Lonchura striata: one gene and its partners. The protein of the gene in region 3 binds, or shares a complex with, the protein of the main gene of each other region. Links are inferred from orthologs where the notes say so. Each region holds a gene or a part of one and is shown on either strand. Other genes may lie near its edges.

Region 1 (7,889 bases), on a different chromosome or scaffold from region 3:
ATTTTGATAGCTAAGGGAAAAGCCCCTTTTGGCTGGTGCTTCACTACAGGCTCCCCTTCAGCCCCCTGGGAGGCTGAGGCACGGTCCTGCTGCAGGGCTGGATCCCGAGGGGTGGGACAGAAGGGAATAGCTGCCTCGTACACAGCGGCGCTGCAGCCCTTCCCGATGGGCTGGCCAATGAGGTACTCCTCCAGCTTGAAGCCCTGCCAGCGGAAGGAGCTCAGGGGATCTTTCTGCGGCTTGTTCTTCCCAACAAACACGGTCTGAAAGGAACATGAACAGAAGAACGAGCTCAGTTATCCCAGACTTCCCAGCTGTGATAAATGCATATTTTATGATTGGCTTTTTGCAAATGATACAATGAATATTATATGTGTAATGTTAGAAAGTTACGTTGTATTAATTCTCTTTAGTAGTGTGTTAAATATAGTTTTAGGTTCCAACATAATGTTAAAATAGAGACTATGTATGTGGGGAAGTTTTTTTTTTTAGGAATGAGATACTTGCTTCGAGGAACACCTAAATCTTCCAAAGGAGAGGAATTTATGGCTTCTTATCAGAAGAAGCTAATTTCTTCAGGCCTTGATCAGACTCAAAGATGCCGGGGGATTAAAGGTAACAGTTGACATACAACAGACAGAGTTTCTTGTTTAGAATAGAATGTATGCATAACCATGAAGGATATATGAATATGCAACAAGTGTATTGGTTTAAGGGTGATTCCTTTGTTCACATGCTTTTCGTGACTTAGTGTCTGAGAGCATCCGGACATCCATAATTCTTTGCTTTTTAATGTCTTGTAATTGTCCTAACTCTAAACTTTATTACTCTAATTGTATTATTATTTTTATAACCATTTTATTATTATTAAACTCTTAAAATTTTAAAAAACAAGTGATTGGCGTTTTTCACACCAGCGAAGGAGAACTTGGTGTTTCAGTGGTATTACACGTCCTGGTGAGATGGTCCAACCTGAAAGTGTCAATCAGACTCTAACCATTGGGCTCAAATCACTGTAACCACATGAAAGATCATCTGCAAGCCACATATTTTTGTGTGATACAATTTACCCCTACACCAGTCTTTTCCAAAGGTGCCCTTTTCGAGGGAAGAAGAGAAACCAGGAGGGGGAGTCATTTGCCAATTTAGAATATAAATATATTTTGCCCAGAGAAACCATGGCTGCTCCATCCCTGGCAGTGTCCAAGGCCAGGATGGTCAGGACTTGGAGCAACCTGGGATAGTGGAAGGTGTCCCTGCCCATGGCAGGGGTGGAAGGAGATGGGGCTTCAAGTCCCTTCCGGCCCAAACCATTCCATGATTCTGGGGTTGTGTAAAGCTAAGTTTAACTGAACACTTCTGAAAACAGATGCATTATTACACTTTTCTCCCTCTCCATAAACAAATCAGGCAAACAGCATTTAAAAGAAAATCCAATTAAAAGCAGCAACAGGAGAAACAATGGCCTTTGTGTGGCAGTTGACTGTGAGGGCTGGTTAGTTTGAGGGAGAGTGAATCTATGATGGGAGGGAGCTGGGGGAGGAAATCAAGAGACGTGGATAAACAACACTCAGGAGGCTGTTCTGGAGTTTCCTCACAGTTCATGATCCTACAGGTCTGGTGCTGCCCCAGCTGTCACCTGGACAGATACAGACAAGTGGCCTTCTCTGTGAGCTGCAGCCCCAAGGCACCGGTGACACCCTAGGGATGTGTCATCAGACACAGACCAGGGACAGCAAATGGAACAACCCAGCAAGGACAGAGGAGAGAAAGGATCCTCTTCAGGAGAAACTTCAGGGAACGCGTCTGCTGGCCAGTGGAGCAGGTGACAGCTGGCTCTGAGCACCAGAGGTCTATTTTTACCCGGGAAATAAGTTCAGTACCATATGTCCCCTGTGCCCTGCCAGCACAGCCTGGCCCAGCACCACAGGGGCCCTAGGGATCAACATCAGTGTCCTGGGACATGAGACCCCCATCACCAGGGGCCTGACCTCCTCCCTCTGGAGGGACAGGGAGTGAGGGTCCCTTGCTTTTGAAAGTGGTGGCTGCATCACTGTGCTTTAGGGCAATGAAGGGCTGGTGAGTGAAGGACTTCCCCAGGACCCTGTTTTTGGGGAGAAAGAGGCGCCTGTGGGGCTGCTCCCAGCACTCCTCCTTTGGGGAGGTGTCTGAGGGCTGCTCACTGCAGCACCCCGCCTTCCTTGGGGAGAGATGCGGAGGCGTCTGTGGGGCTCCCCAGTGTGCCCTTCACAGGGGCTGTCGGGGGGCTCCCCACAGCAGCGATCCCCCTTCCCTTCATGAGGGATGTCTGAGGGGCTCCATAAAACAAGGCTCTCCCCTTCACCAAGGGTGTCTAGGGGGCTCCCCACAGCAGTGATGCCCCTGCCATTGCAAGGGGGCATCTGAGGGGCTCCTCAGCAGAATCCCCCTCCCCTTTATGGATGATGTCGAAGGGCTTCTCCAGAGGGATGACCCCCGCTACCCTCAGCGGGGGCGTGCAGGGGCTCCCCAGAGCAAGGGCTCCCCTACCCTTCTTTGGGAGGGTGCCTGTCTCCCCACAGCACTGACACTCCGAGGCGTCCACGGGGGTGTTCAAGGGGCTCCGCACACCAAGGACCACCCTCCCTTTCACGAAGGATGTCTGGAGGGCCACGACCTCCTCTGCCCTTCTTGGGAGGTGCCTGCGGGCCTCCTTCCCAGCCAGCCCCCCTCCCTCACGGAGAGCGCCGCAGGCGCTGCCCAGCGGGACCCCCGGCCGCTCCCCACCTGGATCTGGCGACACGCCGCCTCAGCCCGGCGCTGCTCCTCCAGGCGCGGCTCCACCAGCCGCAGCGCCACGGCCAGCGCCAGGCACACACCGCCCCCGCGGCCCCGCCGCGCCGCGGCCGCCAGCCCGGCCGCCGGGCCGCGCAGGAGGCGGCGGGCGGCCGGCAGCCAGCCCGGCCAGCCCGGCCAGCCCAGCCAGCCCGGCCCGGGCCGCCACGGCGCGGCGGGCGCGGGGCCGGGCCCGGGGCGCGGGGCGGCGCGGGGCGCGCAGGGCGGCCGGCACCGCGGCAGCAGCCGCAGGGCCCGGGCCAGCAGCAGCCGCACCGCCATGGCCACGGCCTCGGCCGGGGCGGGGCCACCGCGGGACGCGCCGACAGGCCGCGCCCCGAAACACGCCCGGGGAGCCGGGGAGCGCGGGGCCCGAAACACCCGGGGAACGCGGGGCCGGAAACACCCGGGAAACCGGGGAACGCGGGGCCGGAAACACGACCGGGGAACCGGGGAGCGCGGGGCCGGAAACACGACCGGGGAACCGGGGAGCGCGGGGCCCCGAAACACCCGGGAAACCGGGGAGCGCGGGGCCGGAAACACCCGGGAAACCGGGAACGCGGGGCCCCGAAACACCCGGGGAACCGGGGAACGCGGGGCCGGAAACACCCGGGAAACCGGGGAACGCGGGGCCCCGAAACACCCGGGAAACCGGGGAACGCGGGGCCGGAAACACCCGGGAAACCGGGGAACGCGGGGCCGGAAACACCCGGGAAACCGGGGAACGCGGGGCCCCGAAACACGCCCGGGGAGCCGGGGAGCGCGGGGCCCGAAACACCCGGGAAACCGGGGAGCGCGGGGCCGGAAACACCCGGGGAGCCGGGGAGCGCGGGGCCCCGAAACACCCGGGGAACGCGGGGCCCCGAAACACAACCGGGGAACCGGGGAGCGCGGGGCCCCGAAACACGCCCGGGGAACGCGGAGCCGCGGCCCCGGGACGGGAGGAAACGGGGAGGGAGAGGAGCAGGGAATGGGCAGGGAATAGGGAGGGAGAGGGGCAGGGAACGGGGAGGGAATGGGGAGGGAGAGGGGCTCGGAGTGGGGCAGGGAATGAAGAGGGAATAGGGAGAAAGAGGGGCAGGGAAGAGGGAGGGAATGGGCAAGGAGAGGGGCTCGGAGTGGGGCCGGGAATGGGGCTAGGATTGAGCATGGAGTGGGACAGGGAACGGGCATGGAGTGGGGTAGGGAATGGGGCTAGGAATGGGCAGAGGAGAGGCCATGGAGTGGGGCAGGGAATGGGGCATGGATGGGGCAGGGAGTGGGCATGGAGGGGGACAGGGAACAGGGCATGGAGTGGAGCAGGGAGTGGGTGTGGAAACGGGCATGGAGACGGGCAGGGTGCAGGGCATGGGAGTGAGATGGGAAATGGGGCATAGAGCAATGGAGCAGGTGTGGAGTGCAGTATGAACAGGGGACATGGAGTGGGGCATCAAGCAGGGCACGGAATGGGTCATGGAGCGGGGCACAGAGCAGGGTTCAGCCAAGGTAAAGCCTTGTGCAATGCAGGGCATGGATGCCACAGCCAGGAGTGCTTTGGCATGGAGCATGCCAGTGCCCTGGGAACAGCCAGGCACAGCCCAGTGTGTGGAATCACCAAATGACAGAATCACAGGCTGGTTTGGGCTGCAGGGGACCTCAAAGCCCACCTTGTTCCACCCCTGCCATGGGCAGAGACACCTTCCACTCTCCCAGCTTGCTCCAAGCCCCATCCAAACCTGGTTTCCAGGGTTGGGGCAGCCACAGCTGCTCTGAGCACCCTGTGCCAGAATCCCTCCCTCCCCTGCTGCCCGTGCTGTGGCATCAGCCCCACAGCTGAGGCACATCCAGCCTCTCATCCACCAGCACCTCCAAGTCCTTCCCAGCAGGAGTGGTCTCCATCCTCCAGCCAATGCAGGTACTGAGGGGCTGCCCTGACCAGCACCCTGCACTCGGCTTTGTTGAACCTCATGAGGTTCCCAGGGCACATCCAGCACCCCCAGCCCTGCCTGGGCTGCAGGACAGCCCTGGGACCCCACTCCCTATTTCCATCACTCGCTACAACTGCAGGAGATAAACCAGAACTGCTTTTATTTCACTTGGGCATGGCAGAAATGCTCAGCCCAGTGCTGGTTGGGAAATGTAATTAATTAATTTATCATTGTATTATACATCAATGTATGATCAACAAATGGCATTACCCTGGAGACATAAAACTCTCCAGAAGTCCCCAAAAACTCCCTGCCCTCTTCTTCACCCCAAACAGAATAAAAGTAAAACAAGCTGGGGAGAAAGGAGCAAAGGACATGGTCAGTGCAATAACCATCCTGTTCCAGCAATCCACCTAATCTGGATTGGGTCACTTCTGGCGCTGATGGACCTTTTCCTTCTTGCTTTCACTTCTTTTTAGAGCTGAAGAATCCAGCACTTTCCCAAGCAATTATTTTGCATATTCAGGAGTGGTTTCTGTACCAAAGCCTGTTTGAGTTCTGCATCAAACCTATGTCCTCCCTTGCCTACAGGGATGTCTGGATGCTTTTTTTACTAGTAACAGGGAATTTCTATTATTTGATTTTGCCATTTCCTCGGGGCAAGGTGGAGCTGGAGTCTGTGAATCAACACTGAATTAGAAGATGATCCAGAGGAACAGGCAACTTAACAGTATAAACACGTTTTCCATTGTGTTGTTCCCAAAAAATTGCTTACAGGCTGAGAGAGTCAGGGAAAACCATTGTTCCCTGTACCTAAGGGCAAAGGCTGGTGATGGCCACTCTGCTCAGACCTTCTTCAGGTCCTCAGGGCCAAAGGAGAGTGGCAGCAGCTCCTCCAGCCTCTTGACAATGTAGGTGCCATCTGCTTTGGTCAGGTAGACATCCCAGTCTGTGCCAAACTGGAGGAGGAGAAAGAAGAGCCTGATGAGGGGGAAGAAGGAGGGAAGAACCTGCATTTCTTCCCCAAATTAATAATATACTCCTTTTTATTCAGGTTCACAGGGAGCATCCCCCTCTATTGCATGTATTTTGGGTTGGCTTAGCAGCATTACCTCCCCCAGAGGATATTCTGGGCTCAGATCCTGTGTTTTTACCCCACCAGCGTGAGCCCCAGTGCCTCTGAACCTGCTGAATCTGACATATTAACAACCCAAAAATGGGCAGTGGGTGCTGGGATTCCTGTGGAGGAGGGATACAAGAGCCGGATAGGATCTCTGGGAAACTCAGCTTTTGCAGGAAAACCCCCATTTTCATGCTTGCCAGAGCAAGGGCTCAAGGGCAAAACTCTGCACCTGGAAGGCAAGCTAATGAACACCCAACCCAGGGCTGGAATCTCCCTCTGCCAGCAGGTAATGAAATTTGAGGAGCCTGGAGCCAGCCCTGGGGCTGAGGATGGGGCGTTGCACCCTCCTTGGTACCTCCAGGTGTTTCAGGGGGAGATGCCTGGGGTCAGGGAATGGTGTCTGGGATCAGGGAATGAGCCATGGAGCCCCACACGAGCTGTCACCTCTCTCATCACTTGTCTGCAGGCGCCACAGGGTGTGATGAAGTGGTCCCCCATGTCACTGCCAAAGGAGAAGGGCACAGCATTCAGTCCTGAGGTCAGAGGAGGGAAGAACACCTGCAGAAGACCCTCACGCCCCAAAAAATACAGAGCCACAACAGATTTGCCCCCCAATTCCACCAAAAACAGCATGCAAAAACTTTATTTGCCTCCCCAAAAGATGGGGCTGCTGCAAAAGAAGCTGTCCCTGAGGAGCAGCAGGGGTTCTGCTGCTGGTTGCCCATCCCATCCCTCGCCGCTCCAGCTCTCACCTGGCGATGGCCATGGCCTTGAAGCTGGTGTGCCCCTCGGAGATGGCTTTTTGGATGGCAGCACGCTCGGCGCACATCCCCAGGCTGTAGCAGGCATTCTCCACGTTGCACCCTGCAGGGACAGCCCCGGCATCAGCCACCTCAAACCCCACCAGCTCCTTTCTTCTCAGGGAATTGACAAAGAAAAGCCATTTGCCCTGCTTCCCCTATTTATTTTCCCATCCGCTGTGATCTTTGGCTCGCTCCGGGATGGCGGCTGCCAAGAGGCAGCGGGGAAGGACACACAGCACCAGCACCCCGGGGTGACCCCGCTGCACCCTCATACATGACCCAAGGCTTGCTGGGGGCTCCCCAAAATCCCCGGGGGGCTCAGATCCCCATCTTACCCGAGAAGATCTCCCCGCCGGCGGTGAGCAGTGCAGCTCCCACCGGGAACTGGCTGTAGGGGCAATAGGCGCAGTTTTTGGCCTCCCGGCTGCGGCGCAGCAGGAGCTGGAGATGGTCACCCTGCGGCTGGCCGGGGGGGACAGCAGGGATCGGGTGCTGCCCGCCTCCCTCCATTCCTGCAGCCGCCTGCCCTGCCCGCTGACGCCGCGGTTAAATATTTCCTCGCCTGGAAAATAGGCTGGCCGGGACGCCGGGATAACGCCCCGGCACGCAGCTGAACTCCGGGAAGCATCCTCAGGGACAGCCCTGGCCCCAAAAGCACCGTCTTCAGGGATTCCCACATCCTCTCTCTGCCTGCTGCCTCATTCTTTCCAATTTCTCTTGTTTTCGTTATTTACTTCCTCCTTTCTCTGTCCCAGCAGAGCTTTTTTCCGCCGCCATCCCACCCCTCCTCAGTTCAAAACTGGTTTTGTGGCTCCACAGGAAATTGTCCTTAAATCATTCCTTGGGGGAAGGAACAACAGCTCCTGATCAGTGAGATCAAAAGAAATAAATTAAATTATTGAAAGCATACAAAGTATACAGAAATATATTTTTATCATAAAAAATAATATTTCCCAGGTCTTCTAACTACAGTCAACAGGGGAAACTGGCTGAAGACACAAGTGGTCAAAAGCCCAATTTCAGATGCCCTCATGCTGGAGCCCAAATTCAGTTTGGCCGGTGCTTCCAGGGGAATCAGCCCACACAAGGAAAGGGCTCCCGGGTGATCATCAAATTGTTTTTTAATTAAAGATTAATTTCTCTATTTTTCCCCTTGCCCAAGGAGCTTCCTGCTCCATTTTCTAGCTGCAAGAATGGTTGTCACAGCCTCCAGGGATTTACCACTGAGATTTTTGTCCAGTT
Region 2 (7,566 bases), on a different chromosome or scaffold from region 3:
GGGTCTGGGAGAAGAGATCTCTTTACAAGTGCCTTTCTCAGACAGAGCCTCCGGCCACCCTGCTGTTAAAGAACCTGCCACTGCCGATGGGCCATGGCCCAGCCCTCTGGCCCTATGGACAAACTCCAGGCTAAGGTCTCACCAGGCCCCTATCACTCTCCTCCCTGGGAGCACACACTCTTATCTGTACTTCCTTGAAAGACTGTTTTCCCATGATTTCAACAGCAAGAGGCTGCTGTCACAGAGGCCTGCAATTTTAAAGTTGTGAAATATAGGAAACAGAGCATATTAGTAACTCCCCCTCGACTGTGAAAAGGGGCAAAATGAAACTAGATAAGGCCATGAAAAGGCAAAACACATGAGAACAAAAAATCTTATCTTCTCAAACTGATTGGTCACATTTGTTTAGCTGAGAGACTCAGAATAACATAACTGACTTCTTATCTTCCTTTTGTGTGATTTTTCTCTTTAAGTAAATGAAAAAACTATCTTTAGAACTTGAAAAATAACAATGGCAGTGTTCTCACATCTTAACTTCCAAACTCTAATTACACCTGCCATATACAGCCAAATTGTATGAACTGCTATTAATTAAAAAAAAAAAAAAACCACAAACTATTTAGTAATCAATGGGGGAGGCAGAAGACTCTTCGTTATTTTTCTACATTTCATAATGCAGATTTCCAGAGTACCCTACTTCAGCTCCCTATTGCCCTAAGGGGATAATTTCAACCTCCTCTGAGAAACAGTATTTACAATCAGTTTCACACACATACACACAAATTCAGAAAAACGTGTTTAGCAAAGATGTCTAAACTCTAGAGCCAGTCACTATATCAAGACATCTATCACTTGTTCAAAAATAAGTCTGGTTTTCCATGGAGTTAAACTAAACATTATTTTTTTTAAAAAGAGACATGAAAATGGCCTAAAGTATCTGAACTTTAAAGAAGCCAAACCCAAATTAAAGTTTATAGAAGAACAGAACCTAATCCCAGTGACAAGTCATTAAATGGCTCCTATTATGTTTTCCATAAAAAAAAACAGCTGACAGACCAATTACAAGGGAGTGCAAGAACTCTTGCCTGCAGTCCTCCTGTACAGCACCTGTACAATTCAGCACCTTAGCATATTATAGACAAGGTTCAGCTACACGTTTCCTCTAATGAACAGATCTCACCTCTAACTAGCATTGCCATAAAAATAATTAATTCTAGTTTTGGAGTTTTATATTAGCCTTTACCACAGACATGCTTTTACAGTATAAATAAACAAGCTTTTCCCTTTTGCTTTCAATGTTTCCAAATGCACTAGACAAACAGTACAGACAAGAGATTTATGCTAAGCAGAAGTGTATTGAGAAGTTAACAAACTGTCAAAATTCAGAGGATTATTACAGTAAAAAGGATGTTATCATTTTATCTGGCCTAGTTAAGCATCCTTACCCCTGCAGGGAAACCAGCCAGTATTTGTCAGACATTCCAGTCTACAGATAAAAGTTTTGTAATAAAACGTTGAAATAGAGTACAACTGTCACACTGCTGTTCTAATACTATACTGTAACACTGACAGGGATGGATGAGGACAAAACAGGAAAGCAAGAGTTAATTTTGTACATACTAAATGTCTGATAAACCAATGTCACCATTAGAACTCTCATTAAATGAAAAAAGGGCCATTAAAAAATCAGACCTGTGTCCTTTAATGTTAGATAGGCTTGCAAACTCATAGTCACAAGTAATTTTTTCAACCCTATTTTGAAGCACCTTTCACTTAAAAACTACTAATTACAAATCACTAAACAACAAGCGTCATTTAGCAACTAGAGATTTGTTGTAAAAACTGTAAAATAATCGACTTGAAGTACAGAATATACTTGAGCCAAGTGAGAGCTCCACCCTAATCTTTGTTTCATGCCACCGTGATGAAGTTTAATTAATCTGTCACTCGGGAGCCACAATCACGCTTTCTTCTGCGATAAAAAGAAAATCACCCAAAGAACAGAAAAATGTATTAGTATTATTGAAATTACTACATCACAGTTCTCCTTGGAAGTAGTATTTCAAAACTCTCAAGCTCTACAATTAAAAAATGACACAGACCTCTATTAGGATTTCTAACAATCCCAAGATCTCAAGATATTCAAGATCAAACTACAAACCCTATCAGCCGATAATAGATTGAAAAAAGGGTACTCACCAATTTAAAAGTCAACAAACTACGCCGAAATTATCCCAGTGTCACAACAAATAGCAACAAAAGAACTGAGATTATTCAAAAATTAATTTGTTAAAATACATCGGACACACGGTGACCTTCAGGCTTACACTGATACTACAGATGCTTAAAAAAGCCACCTCCTTACCCTTGCATTAACGCTCTCCCTACACACAAACCGGAGGTGGACACGGAAGCCTAATGTGGGCCAGGCCAAGGTAGAAACTTTAAGGACAGGATCTGGAAATAGCTTACGGGCTCAGGAAGCGAGGCGGGGGCAGTAAAGTAGCGCCTCCCGGAGGGAAGGGCGAGCGGGGATGCGGCCGCAGCGCGGGCAGGGCCGGGCCGGGCCGGGCCGAGCGGCGGCCCCAGGCCGGGCGCGCCGCCCGCCCCGCCGCAAGGTGAACCGACCCGCTCGGCGCGGCCATCTTGGGCATCCCGGCCTGACCTCCGCCCGCCGAGCCTCGCGCAGCCGAGCCCGGCCGCGGCACCGCGGGGACAGCGGCCGCGGAGAGGCCGCCGCCCGCCCCGCGAACCCGGCAGCGCCGGGACGAGCCCGCGGCCCGGCCACCCCCGGCCCACGAGGCCTCAGAGCCGCTCGCCACCGGGCGAGCCCCGCCCGCCCCCCCCCGCATGCTCCGCCAGGCCCGTGGCGGCCGGGGCCGGCACCTGCGTGTTGCGGGTCGTCGGCGGAGCAGGGCTGAGGCCGGTCAGGGGCGGGCAGAGTGGTCCGGCAGGCCGCGCTGCTGCAGCCGCGGGCAGTGGAGGGCGAACTGAAGGAGACACTGATCCGCCCGCCCGCCGCCGCCGCCGCGCAGGACCCCGGCGCGCCGGGGCCGCCCATCCCGCCGCCTGCCCCGCCCGCAGCGCCACACCACCCCCGCCCCGCGGGAGGCGCCGGCGGCCGCGGCCCGGAGCTCGGCAGCGGCGGGAGGTGCCGCAGCCCCGAGCCACAAGCCGGACGGCGGCGGCGCGGCCGGGCAGGCGCTCGGGCGGGCAGCCCCGACGGCGGCGGGGGCCTGCGGGAGGGCGGGGCCGCTGCGCGGGGCGCGCGCAGGGGCGGGGCCGCCCGCGGGCGCGGAGGAGCCGCAGAGCGGCCGGGAGAGCCGCGCCCGGGAGCCGCCCGGGGCTGCGCGGCAGCGCTCGTCCCTCCGGGGACGGGCGGCCCTCGCCTGCGCCTGCCGCAGCATCCCGGCGCCGCTGCCCTGCCGGGGAAAGCACCGGCCGCCCTCTCGGGGCCCAGCCCCTCCCGCGCTGGCACACGGACGGGAGACGCCCTTCAGCCGCGGCCTTTGTGCAGATGGCGGGCCTTGCTCCTCACAGCCCCCAGGAGCCCTTCCCTTCTCCGGGGAACGGCGCCCGCCGAGCGTGGGCGATGCTGCAGTGCCCATATCGCTCCGCTGGCTGCTCGCCCTTGCCCCACTGCACTGAACACATCCCCCCTCACAAGCTCTGTGCCACGGACACACAGGGCCACCCGCAGCACGGCCGTCCCATTGCCGCTCCGGCAGCTGTAGCCCATCGAACAAGGTGTCGAGCCTCCTGCCGACAAGTTGCCGCAGACTTTCAAATTGCCTAAGCTCCGTTTTTACCTCTTCCAATCACCACCCACAGACACCTTCCCCATAAAAGCACAGTGTGTCTCAGGCCGAGAGAAGCAGTGACCCTCAGATACGTTTCCCAGACAGTGCTGTCTGACCAGAAATCATAGCTGGAGAACAGTCACACGACTACTGTGCAGCAGGAGGAATCGCCGATTCACCAATGCAGACCATTGCAAGGCCAAGGAACTGCACAATAACCGTTTCTAAAACTCATATTCTTCTCTCCTTGCCTGGGTTATGACATGATCTCAACTTCTTCAAGAAAGCAAAATTCGTTTACAAATACACAATATATTTGTGTGATACAGAGAATACATAATATCACAATTCATTTTCCAGAACACATGGCACAACAGTAATTTTCCAGTATATTAAGAGAGCAGGTTAGTAGAAAGGCCCAACATAACGCCAGTCTGCACCTGTTTGTTATAGCAAAAGATAAGCAACAGATTTTGTGTGTGTGTGTGTGTGTGTGTGTGTGTGTGTGTGTGTAAGTCCAATGCTTTCACATCAAAAGACCCAAGAGATGTTTCATTCTGACGGTTTTAAGTAAGACAGTTTGGCATTGCAGAGATAAATATGTGTTGATGAATCAAGAAGGAAAGCCACATACTGAGAAAATAAATAACAGCAGGAAAAGAAACCCAGTGTGTCTTACTGTACATGGAAACATACATTCAAAATAACTAGAGATCTGATTAAGTAAAAATAAGTAAAAATAGATTGTGGAATAAGTTGCTCATTATTTAAAGACATGCATTTATTATTCATACCAGTCCTATAAATAAATCCATTCTGAATAGAAGTCCAGTTGCTTATAGGAGACATCAGCATTCTGCCTTTTTTTTCCCTTTAAAGATTAATATTTTAGTAATGGTTTGGCTTTATTTTTAGCAATCTAGGAAAGTAATTACTGCCCTGCCCTGAGCAAAAAAAGCAATGAATCACTTGCTTTGTGAGACAAGGCAGAAGCAATAATCTGAGACACAACAGCAAACTCCTCTGCATTACAGGCTCTGTTGCAACAGCCTTTGCCTGCCAGTGTTTTTTACTCACTCTTGCACTGCCCCTGCCTTGTACAACCATGCCTTATTGCCTCATGCCTTAGCAGATCTACTCGAGCTCAGAGCCCCAAAAAGGCACAGCTTCAGGCCTGCAATAGCAAGCCTTCTGAATTACTCTGCACCTTTCTTCTCAGCAATTTCTTCATACCACTTAGTGCACACACCTCCTATGTAGGTGCACTTCCTCTGAATGGGCTGGTTTTCTACTGAAATTCAGCAGCTCTCCAGTTTTGGGGCCAGTTGCAGTTGAACTGTTACCATTTTGTACGAACACAGCCGTATTTACGTATAACTGACATCAGAGTCACGTGTTTTACTGCTACCATTTGGAGAAAACCCACAGGTCACTGTAAGTTTAATGTCATTTGAACAAAAACTCTGCTTCTCTCTCCACAATTTAGAACGTATGTGAGCAACAAAAAGAGAGCAAGTGTCTACAGTACGTACCAGTGTCCACCATGCAGTTCAGATAACTTACGTTCACTTCTGACATGAGCCTGAAGTCATTGCTTTATCTTCCCTCCAGATGCAGATGTTCAGCTGATGATTCCCTGGAGAAGCCTTACAAATGATCTAGCAGTTGCATCCTGAAACAAGCTGATTTAGGGCATATAGCAGAGATGCTGAAAGTGTAACCAGCAGGGAAAGGGTGGAAAATAGTTGAAGCTACCAAGAAACAAATTCAGAATAAACAAAGCCAAGAGTTTTTCTATGAAAGAGTGCAATCCAGTGGAATTACCTGACACCAGAAGCTAAATGTTTATATGGGCTCCAGGGAAACTAGACAGGCTTGTGGAAGAGAAATCCAGCAAGGATTACTAATTACAAATCCATTCAAGAATTACATATTGCTATATAGCCTGTTTGGAGTCAGAAAATGCCCGAGTTGCAAATGGAAGTATCATTTAAGTTTATCCTGTTCTTGGATTGTTATTATAGGTGTGTGCTGCCTAAATAATTGCTCACTTCATCATCCCAGAGGCAGGGATATTAGATTGTCTACACCTTTTGTCTGATACCCTACAACTGTTCTTATGTGCAAACTAGGCCTCTGGAAAGCCCTAAGAGGGCAATCAGCAGAGGCCTACACTGCCAGGATCCTTTAGACTGACACACTTAATGCCTTTCCATTTTTTTCCTAAGAAGCTTCAAGTAACCTTCTTTCATTTTAGCTTAAATTACTAGGAAGAAGTTTAACTTAAACCAGATTCTAAAACACGCTTTAAACAGGCCCAAATGGAGCTAACACATTCAAATAATCTGACACAGAGAATACCTTAGGTCAGAGGCACACAGTTGATACCAAGAAGTGACTTTAGGGCTGAGGCAATGCCTTGGTTTAACGAAATCTGCCTTGCAGTTAGGGCCGGCCGCAGGCTGCGGGGCGGGTCCCGTGCGGGCCGAGCCAATCAGCGGCCTCGCTTTGAGGCGCCAATCAGCGGCCTCGCTTTGAGGCGCCAATCAGCGGCCTCGCTTTGAGGCGCCAATCAGCGGCCTCGCTTTGAGGCGCCAATCAGCGGCCTCGCTTTGGGGAGCCAATCGATCAGCTGCCCGGCTGTGAGGCGCTGGCCGTGCCTCAGTGCCGAGCACGCTGGAAGCACGAACGAAGGCCGGGCGCGGCTTTTGGCTTCCGGCTCTCGGCGAGGCCGGACTAGGCCGGGCCCACGTGGCCGGCTCGGCGCGCAGCTCCGCTGCGATTTCTGCTACTGCCGGGCCGTGCCACCGGAACTGTCCCAGCGCCGTAGGCAACCACACGGCCGGGAGTGGCCCTGTGGCCGGGACTGCTCGGTCGGGATCCGTGCAGCCCTGGCAGCGCCGTGCAGCCGGGGCCACGCTATTCGGCTATTTCGGCATGGCACACGAGTGAACTTGGTTTACTCAGCACTAGCGCCGGGAGTGGCCCTGTGGTCGGCGCTGAGGGTGGCCCCGGGGCCAGGAGTGGCCAGCGCCATCCCGGACGTGGCCAGGAGTGCGTGTCCGAATGGACACAACTGCAGCGGTGCCGTGCGGCCACAGCTGTCCCGGCGTGACTCGCAGGGGACTTTGCTTAGCCGCTTTAACCGGCTCTGCTGCGGACAGAAGGACAAAAGCAGTGGCAGCAGCGTTTTTCTTTCTTGCAGTGTCCCGCATGAAAGAAAGGCGCGGGGGTGGTGCCGGCAGCCTGCGCGGGTTGCGCTGCTGGCGGGAGCCACATGATCAGCAGCGACAGTCACAGCGATTCCTCGGCGGCGGAGCCTGCACAGATTCAGCCTTGAAATGTTGCAGGACTCTATACTGTTGTAGTTTATAAAGCCCAAGAGCAAATGAACCTACGAACACTAATTCTCCCCTGAGTCAGGAAAAGGAAAGGGTAGAGAAAATACGTAGAGACAATATACACGTCGAGAAAATAACATGGGACACTAAGTCAAGTAAAGGAGTCAAATTCTAGCAGGGAGGGGATTGACTAGATGCCTTAGTCGTGGGCTAAAATTATTTTTGCAAGACTATGGTGAAGGTATATTTGATACAACAAACTAGTTTTTTCCTATAATTCATGGAATGCATTGGGCAGATGTAGTGTTCTACCTACAGCCCTGAGCAGAACCATCAGTGTTGGAATAAGCAGATGTTGCAGTAGCTCTGATCCAATGAAGAGTTTGACCAGAAAGAAATGAGAAGCCTTGCCCTAGGAATAGAAG
Region 3 (5,684 bases):
CTGTCGGGACTGTCCCCAGCACAGGACCTGGCGGGGACACCCCTGGGCCAGGGCAGAAGGAAAATGCCTTCTGAGACAGGAGGGGAAAAGCCTCTTCCTCCCTGCAGCCACCACGTCACCTGAGCTCAGGAACGCCCTGGATTTCATTTCCCAGGGGAATGCAGATGGGTGATTTCCCTGGATGCAGCAGGCACCCGAGGCCGCAGGCAGGGAGTCTCCAAGGGATGTGGCTCTGCTCCCAACAAAACACCCAGTTCCCAAACCTGAGCTGCACTTCCAGGACCCCTGCCCGGGGGATGAGCCCCCATCCCGGGAGCCAAGGAGAGGTCCTGGCGGGTCCCGGGCCAGCAGAGCTGGCACAGCCGGCTGGGGGCAGCGCCCTGCCCTGCCCTGCCCTGGCTCCTGCCCTCCCAGCCGTGCCCACCGCGTGTCTGCACATCCCACCTGCCTGCCGCCCCTCCAGGAGGCTCGGAGAGCCACAGCAGCAGCCAGGGAGCAATCCCAGCCAGCCCCATCCCACCCATGACTGTCACAAATAAACAGCGAGCAGGCACAGCTGCTCTCCCGTTTATTTCCGTTGTTATATTTCCATTTATTTCCCGCTTATTTCACGCTGCAGGTGAGCTGGATGAAGGGCAGACCGGCGCACGCGGGCGGGCCGGCGAGCCGCAGCGTGTGCGGGATGGACGGGGGCTCTGCTCACGCAGCACGGAATGCTCTGCCCCACGGCCGCGGGGGCCGTGCCGAGCCGTGCCGAGCCGTGCCGGGCGGCCAGCCCCGCGGGACAGCAGCTGCCACTCATCCCGCCGGGCCCGAGGGGTCATATACTGTCCAGCTTCTTCAGGATGAAGGGAGCTGCGGGAGGAAACAGCGCGGAGTCGAGCCCGGGCCGCGGCCGGACTGCTGCGGGTTGGGCAGCGCCCCGGACCGGCACGGCGCCGGGGCACGGCGGGACCGGGGCACGGCGGGGCCGGGACATCCCCGGGGCCGGGGCACGGCGGGGCCGGGGCATCCCCGGGGCCGGGGCACGGCGGGGCCGGGACATCCCCGGGGCCGGGACATCCCCGGGGCCGGGACATCCCCGGGGCCGGGGCACGGCGGGGCCGGGACATCCCCGGGGCCGGGGCACGGCGGGGCCGGGACATCCCCGGGGCCGGGACATCCCCGGGGCCGGGGCACGGCGGGGCCGGGACATCCCCGGGGCCGGGGCATCCCCGGGGCCGGGACATCCCCGGGGCCGGGACATCCCCGGGGCCGGGGCACGGCGGGACCGGGGCACGGCGGGACCGGGACATCCCCGGGGCCGGGGCACGGCGGGGCCGGGGCACGGCGGGGCCGGGGCATCCCCGGGGCCGGGACATCCCCGGGGCCGGGGCATCCCCGGGGCCGGGGCACGGCGGGGCCGGGACATCCCCGGGACCGGGGCACGGCGGGACCGGGACATCCCCGGGGCCGGGGCACGGCGGGGCCGGGACATCCCCGGGGCCGGGACATCCCCGTACCGGGCCCGGCACGGCCCGGGAGCCGGGTCACTCACTGATCCGCAGCAGGGCCACGTAGATGAGGAAGTTGCGCACGGAGGCGAGCACGTCGCGGCGCATCTTGCGGCGGAGCTCCTCCGGGTCCATCTTGGGCCCCAGCCCCTCGATGCGGAACATCCTGGAGCGGAGCGCGGAGCGCGGAGCGCGGAGCCCGGAGCTGGGAACGCGGAGCCCGGAACGCGGAACGCGGAGCTGGGAACGCGGAGCTGGGAACGCGGAGCGCGGAGCCCGGAGCGCGGAGCCCGGAGCGCGGAGCCCGGAGCGCGGAACGCGGAACGCGGAGCGCGGAACGCGGAGCCCGGAGCCCGGAACGCGGAGCGCGGAACGCGGAGCGCGGAACGCGGAGCGCGGAACGCGGAGCCCGGAGCCCGGAACGCGGAGCGCGGAACGCGGAGCGCGGAACGCGGAGTGCGGAGCCCGGAGCCCGGAGCGCGGAGCGCGGAACGCGGAACGCGGCCCGACCCCGACCCGGCCCCGGCGCCGCTGCGGCCACGCGCGGCGGCAGCACCGGAGCGGAGGCGGGAGCGAGACGGCGTCACTTCCGAGCGGGCGTGACGGGAGAGCGACACGGGACAGGGCGGAGAGAGGGACAGCGACACGGAACAGAGAGAACGAGCACAGGCAGGGACAGCCACAGGGACACGGAGCGGCACAGGGAGAGCGAACAGAGAAAGATTCCTTACAATCAGAGGGGTTTGGGCACGCTGCAAAAGGCCTCCGAGACAGCAGGATGGTGATGAGAGCTCAGCAGTAGCCATGAGATTTGTCAGCAGAAAAATTATACAAGAAGTAGAAAGGACAAATAGAGCAATGGTCTGTGTGTTAACACTGGGGTAGAATAACTCCCTAAGGTGCAGAAAAGTATCTCTGGTGAGATATTAGGAAGGTCTAAGCTTAATAATGGAGCTCTGTGCATTGTATCTTAAGGCTTACAAGCAGGTATTGTATTGGAAATAAGCGAGCATTGCTTTAACCAAAGGTATGTGTGCTTATAAGAGCTTGGATAGAACTAGTGCCAGTGTGCTTTTGCTTTGTGTGACTGGTCAAAAAGCTTTTAAAGTAAGATGTAACATTAAGTTCTTGTTCTGCTGCTGGGATGTGAGCTGCTGGCACCTTCCCATTGTCATAACCATGGAATGAGAGTGATGCTGGAAAATGAACAGCTGGGGACACGTTCCTCAGCAGTCCCGTCCGTTCCTGGTTTGTACAGTCCCCCGCCGGCGATAAGAAACAGGGACAGGGAGAAGGGACAGGGCCAGGGCCGGGGCCAGGGGACAGGGCCAGGGCCAGGGCCAGGGCCAGGGCCAGGGACAGGGCCAGGGCCAGGGCCAGGGCCAGGGACAGGGGACAGGGACAGGGACAGGGACAGGGACAGGGACAGGGACAGGGACAGGGACAGCCTCAGCCCAGTCCGCCGCATGTCGCGAGCCCTCCACGGGCACGGCCGGTTCTGCACCGCGGGCAGAGGGTGTCAGCTCCTCCAGACCCCCTGCCCTGGGAGCTTCGGGCTCTCCGGGCTCAGGAAAGGAGATTCAGCACCTCAGAGCCCGGCGTCCCGTGGGATCTGCTCACCCCTCAGGTGTTGGGGTCAGTTGGCAAGACCCCGAGGACAATTACTAGACAATAAAGAACAAAGAATTACAGATGTCCGCATGCTCTCGGGCACGTAAGCCCCGACAAGCATGTTTTGTGAACAAAGGAATCACCCTTAAAAACCATACACTGTTGCATATTCATACATACTTTATGGTATATATATGACATTATGCATAGATTCTATTTAAAACAAGACACTCTCTCTGGAGTATGCCAACTCTTTCAATCCCCATGGTGTCTTCGAGTCTGAGCAAGGTCTGGAGAAATGAGCTTCTTCTGATAAGAAAACCATCAATTTCTCTTCTCTGGAAGATTTAGGGGTTCTGTGACTGTTATCTCAAAGTGAGTATCTCATTTGTTTAAAAAAAACCCCACATACATAGTTTCTATTTTAACTACAAAACTACATTTACCATACTATTAAAATGTTAATACAGCACTTCAAATCAATATAACACAATACATATAATATTCCATTTAATATTTGTGAAAAGCCAATCATAAAATATGCATTTCTCACACCATTGCTGTGGGTAATCTTCCTGGAAATCTGTGGGATCTGGGTGGAAACCAGCCCCACGAGCCCAGGGATGCAGGCTGCAGGTGCAGTGGCCGGGCTGATGCTGGGTGGGATGCAGAAGAGAGGGCATGGCTGGGCAGAGCTGCCTGGGAAGCTGGCTGAGAAAAATGCATGTTTTATGACTGGCTTTTCGCAAATGTTACAATGAGTATTATGTGTGTAATGTTAGAAAGTTATGCTGTATTAATTCTCTTAAGTAGAGTGTTAAATACAGTTTCAGGTTCCAGCACAATGTTAAAATAGAAACTCTGCTATGTGAAAGGAAGAAGCTAATTTCCTCAGGCCTTTCTCAGACTCACTGATGCCATGGGGAATAAAAGAAATAGTTAACATACAACAGACAGAGTTCTTGTTTTAAATAAAATATATACACAACCATGAAGAATATATGAATATGCAACAGGCTTTTGGTTTTAAAGTTATTCCTTTGTTCACAAAGTATACTTATCATAACTTAGTGTCCAAGAGCATCCAGATGTCCATAATTCTTTGCTTTTTATTGTCTTGTGATTGTCCTAACTCTAAATTTTATTCATGCAATTGTATTACTATTTTTATAAGCATTTTATTATTATTAAACTTTTAAAATTTTATAAACCAAGTGATTGGCATTTTTCACACTGGCCAAGCCCAGACACTCAGCTGAAATTCAGGCTTCTCTCCCCATTGCTCCCATGACGTTCTGGAGCTATGGTAACACGCTGCTGGTGCAGAGGGCTGGAGAGAAACAGCCCACAGAAATTAAAACTGCCCTGATAATTCCTTTTGAGACCTCAGTCGGGTTTCTAGGAGCAAGGAGCTCCCCATGGTGGCCTGATGGATAAAAACCTCCTGTGGAGTGGCCGTCAGGCACTGTCTGGTGGTGTTTCTCCTCTCCTGCACAGTGGGGATGGCTCAGGATGGCTCATGTGGAAGGACAGCCTGCCCTGCTCCTGGAACAGGCACTGTTAGCCTGGCCCTGGCACTGTTAACTGCATCCACTGGCCAGATGTGGAGGGACTGTGCCCCTGTTGAGGCCTAAACAAGTTACCCTTTGTCCCCTTAAAAAGGACAAAAGCCCAGAAGTTTCTCTCCTCAATGTGGTTAAAAGACACCTCAAAGGACCTTGGGGACTTCACCTCAAACTTAAGGATAGCCAATTGGACAGGACACAAAAAGTCCTGCCTAAGCAATTCCCTAGGAAAGAAGAGAACAAAATAAGTTAATTGCTTTTGTGCAGTGTTTTAGCAGGAGCAAGAACCTCTTGCCCTGGCTTGGTTGTTCTCTGTAAAGAGCTTTTTTATTTTGCCTTTTATTAAAACTTTCGGTTTCCAGCATTGTCATAGGAGCCACCTGAGGTGGCTGAGCTGTCAAGGGTAGGGTGTTTGTCTATGACAGACTATAGGGCCAGGCTGGAATAGATAAAACAGAGGAGCACCAGGGACCTGCACTCACCAGACTGGACCCGAGGTGTGTCAGGGATGCAGAGCAGAGGCTTTGCAGAGGGCCTGGGCAGCCTGGCAGCGGAGCACGGGGAGGCGAGGCAGGTGATGCTGGAGCTCCCGAGGACTCCATCCTGGCCGAGCCTGACAGCAGCACGGCTCTGTGCCCACCCAGAGCTGGCTCTGTGTGCCTGCCGGGGCTCCGCTCGTCCCCGGCAGCTCCGGGGGCCCCACGGCCCCAGGGCTGAGCTCCAGACCCGTCTCACCGGGGCACAGGGGCTCCTGCCAGCCCAGAGGCACCTCCTGGGACAGTGTCGGGCACAGGACAGTCTCTGCTGGGCACATGTCCTGTTTAGGGCAAATCTGGGAGAAAAACCTCTGGAAGGAGCCCCCAGAAAACAAACCCCCTTGGCCCTTTCCCCCCCACCCTATTTGGGGAGAATTTTCTCTGAAAGAAGCAGAAAATAACCTGTTTGTTTAACAAACAAAACCCTCCCCAGCTCCAAAGAAAGTAACAACACCAGATGACAACAAAACTCTTTCACC

What was found.
Region 1: the proteins of TOMM5 (region 3) and PINK1 are in contact, whole or in part, in a cryo-EM structure (PDB 9EII), measured with the Homo sapiens proteins. The link is inferred for Lonchura striata from reciprocal best matches to the Homo sapiens genes TOMM5 and PINK1. Residues at the interface, in NP_001001790.1 of Homo sapiens: Met1, Phe2, Arg3, Ile4, Gly6, Leu7, Ala8, Lys10, Leu11, Asp12, Pro13, Glu14, Met16, Lys17, Arg18; in NP_115785.1 of Homo sapiens: Gln484, Ala488, Gln491, Ser495, Lys496, Pro498, Val502, Lys520, Leu522, Lys523, Leu524, Met527, Glu565, Cys568, Gln569, Ala571, Leu572, Leu573, Cys575, Ser576, Trp577, Ala579, Ala580.
Region 2: the proteins of TOMM5 (region 3) and VDAC2 are in contact, whole or in part, in a cryo-EM structure (PDB 9EII), measured with the Homo sapiens proteins. The link is inferred for Lonchura striata from reciprocal best matches to the Homo sapiens genes TOMM5 and VDAC2. Residues at the interface, in NP_001001790.1 of Homo sapiens: Ile25, Arg29, Leu32, Ile33, Ala36, Arg39, Val40, Phe43, Ile44, Lys47; in NP_001171752.1 of Homo sapiens: Val38, Thr60, Gly63, Asp239, Tyr258, Gln260, Thr261, Leu262, Leu268, Leu270, Val286, Leu288.

The regions. Positions count from the first base shown.
Region 1 is NC_134626.1:7,640,551-7,648,439, reverse strand, and holds the start of PINK1 (serine/threonine-protein kinase PINK1, mitochondrial), read right to left. Parts: upstream 3,097-7,889; coding exon 3,050-3,096; intron 2,939-3,049; coding exon 2,767-2,938; intron 264-2,766; coding exon 1-263. UniProt on the Homo sapiens protein: Serine/threonine-protein kinase which acts as a sensor of mitochondrial damage and protects against mitochondrial dysfunction during cellular stress.
Region 2 is NC_134609.1:11,428,441-11,436,006, forward strand, and holds the start of VDAC2 (non-selective voltage-gated ion channel VDAC2), read right to left. Parts: upstream 3,052-7,566; 5' UTR 2,887-3,051; intron 1-2,886. UniProt on the Homo sapiens protein: Non-selective voltage-gated ion channel that mediates the transport of anions and cations through the mitochondrion outer membrane and plasma membrane.
Region 3 is NC_134642.1:86,219,279-86,224,962, forward strand, and holds TOMM5 (mitochondrial import receptor subunit TOM5 homolog), read right to left. Parts: upstream 1,713-5,684; 5' UTR 1,659-1,712; coding exon 1,538-1,658; intron 856-1,537; coding exon 821-855; 3' UTR 552-820; downstream 1-551.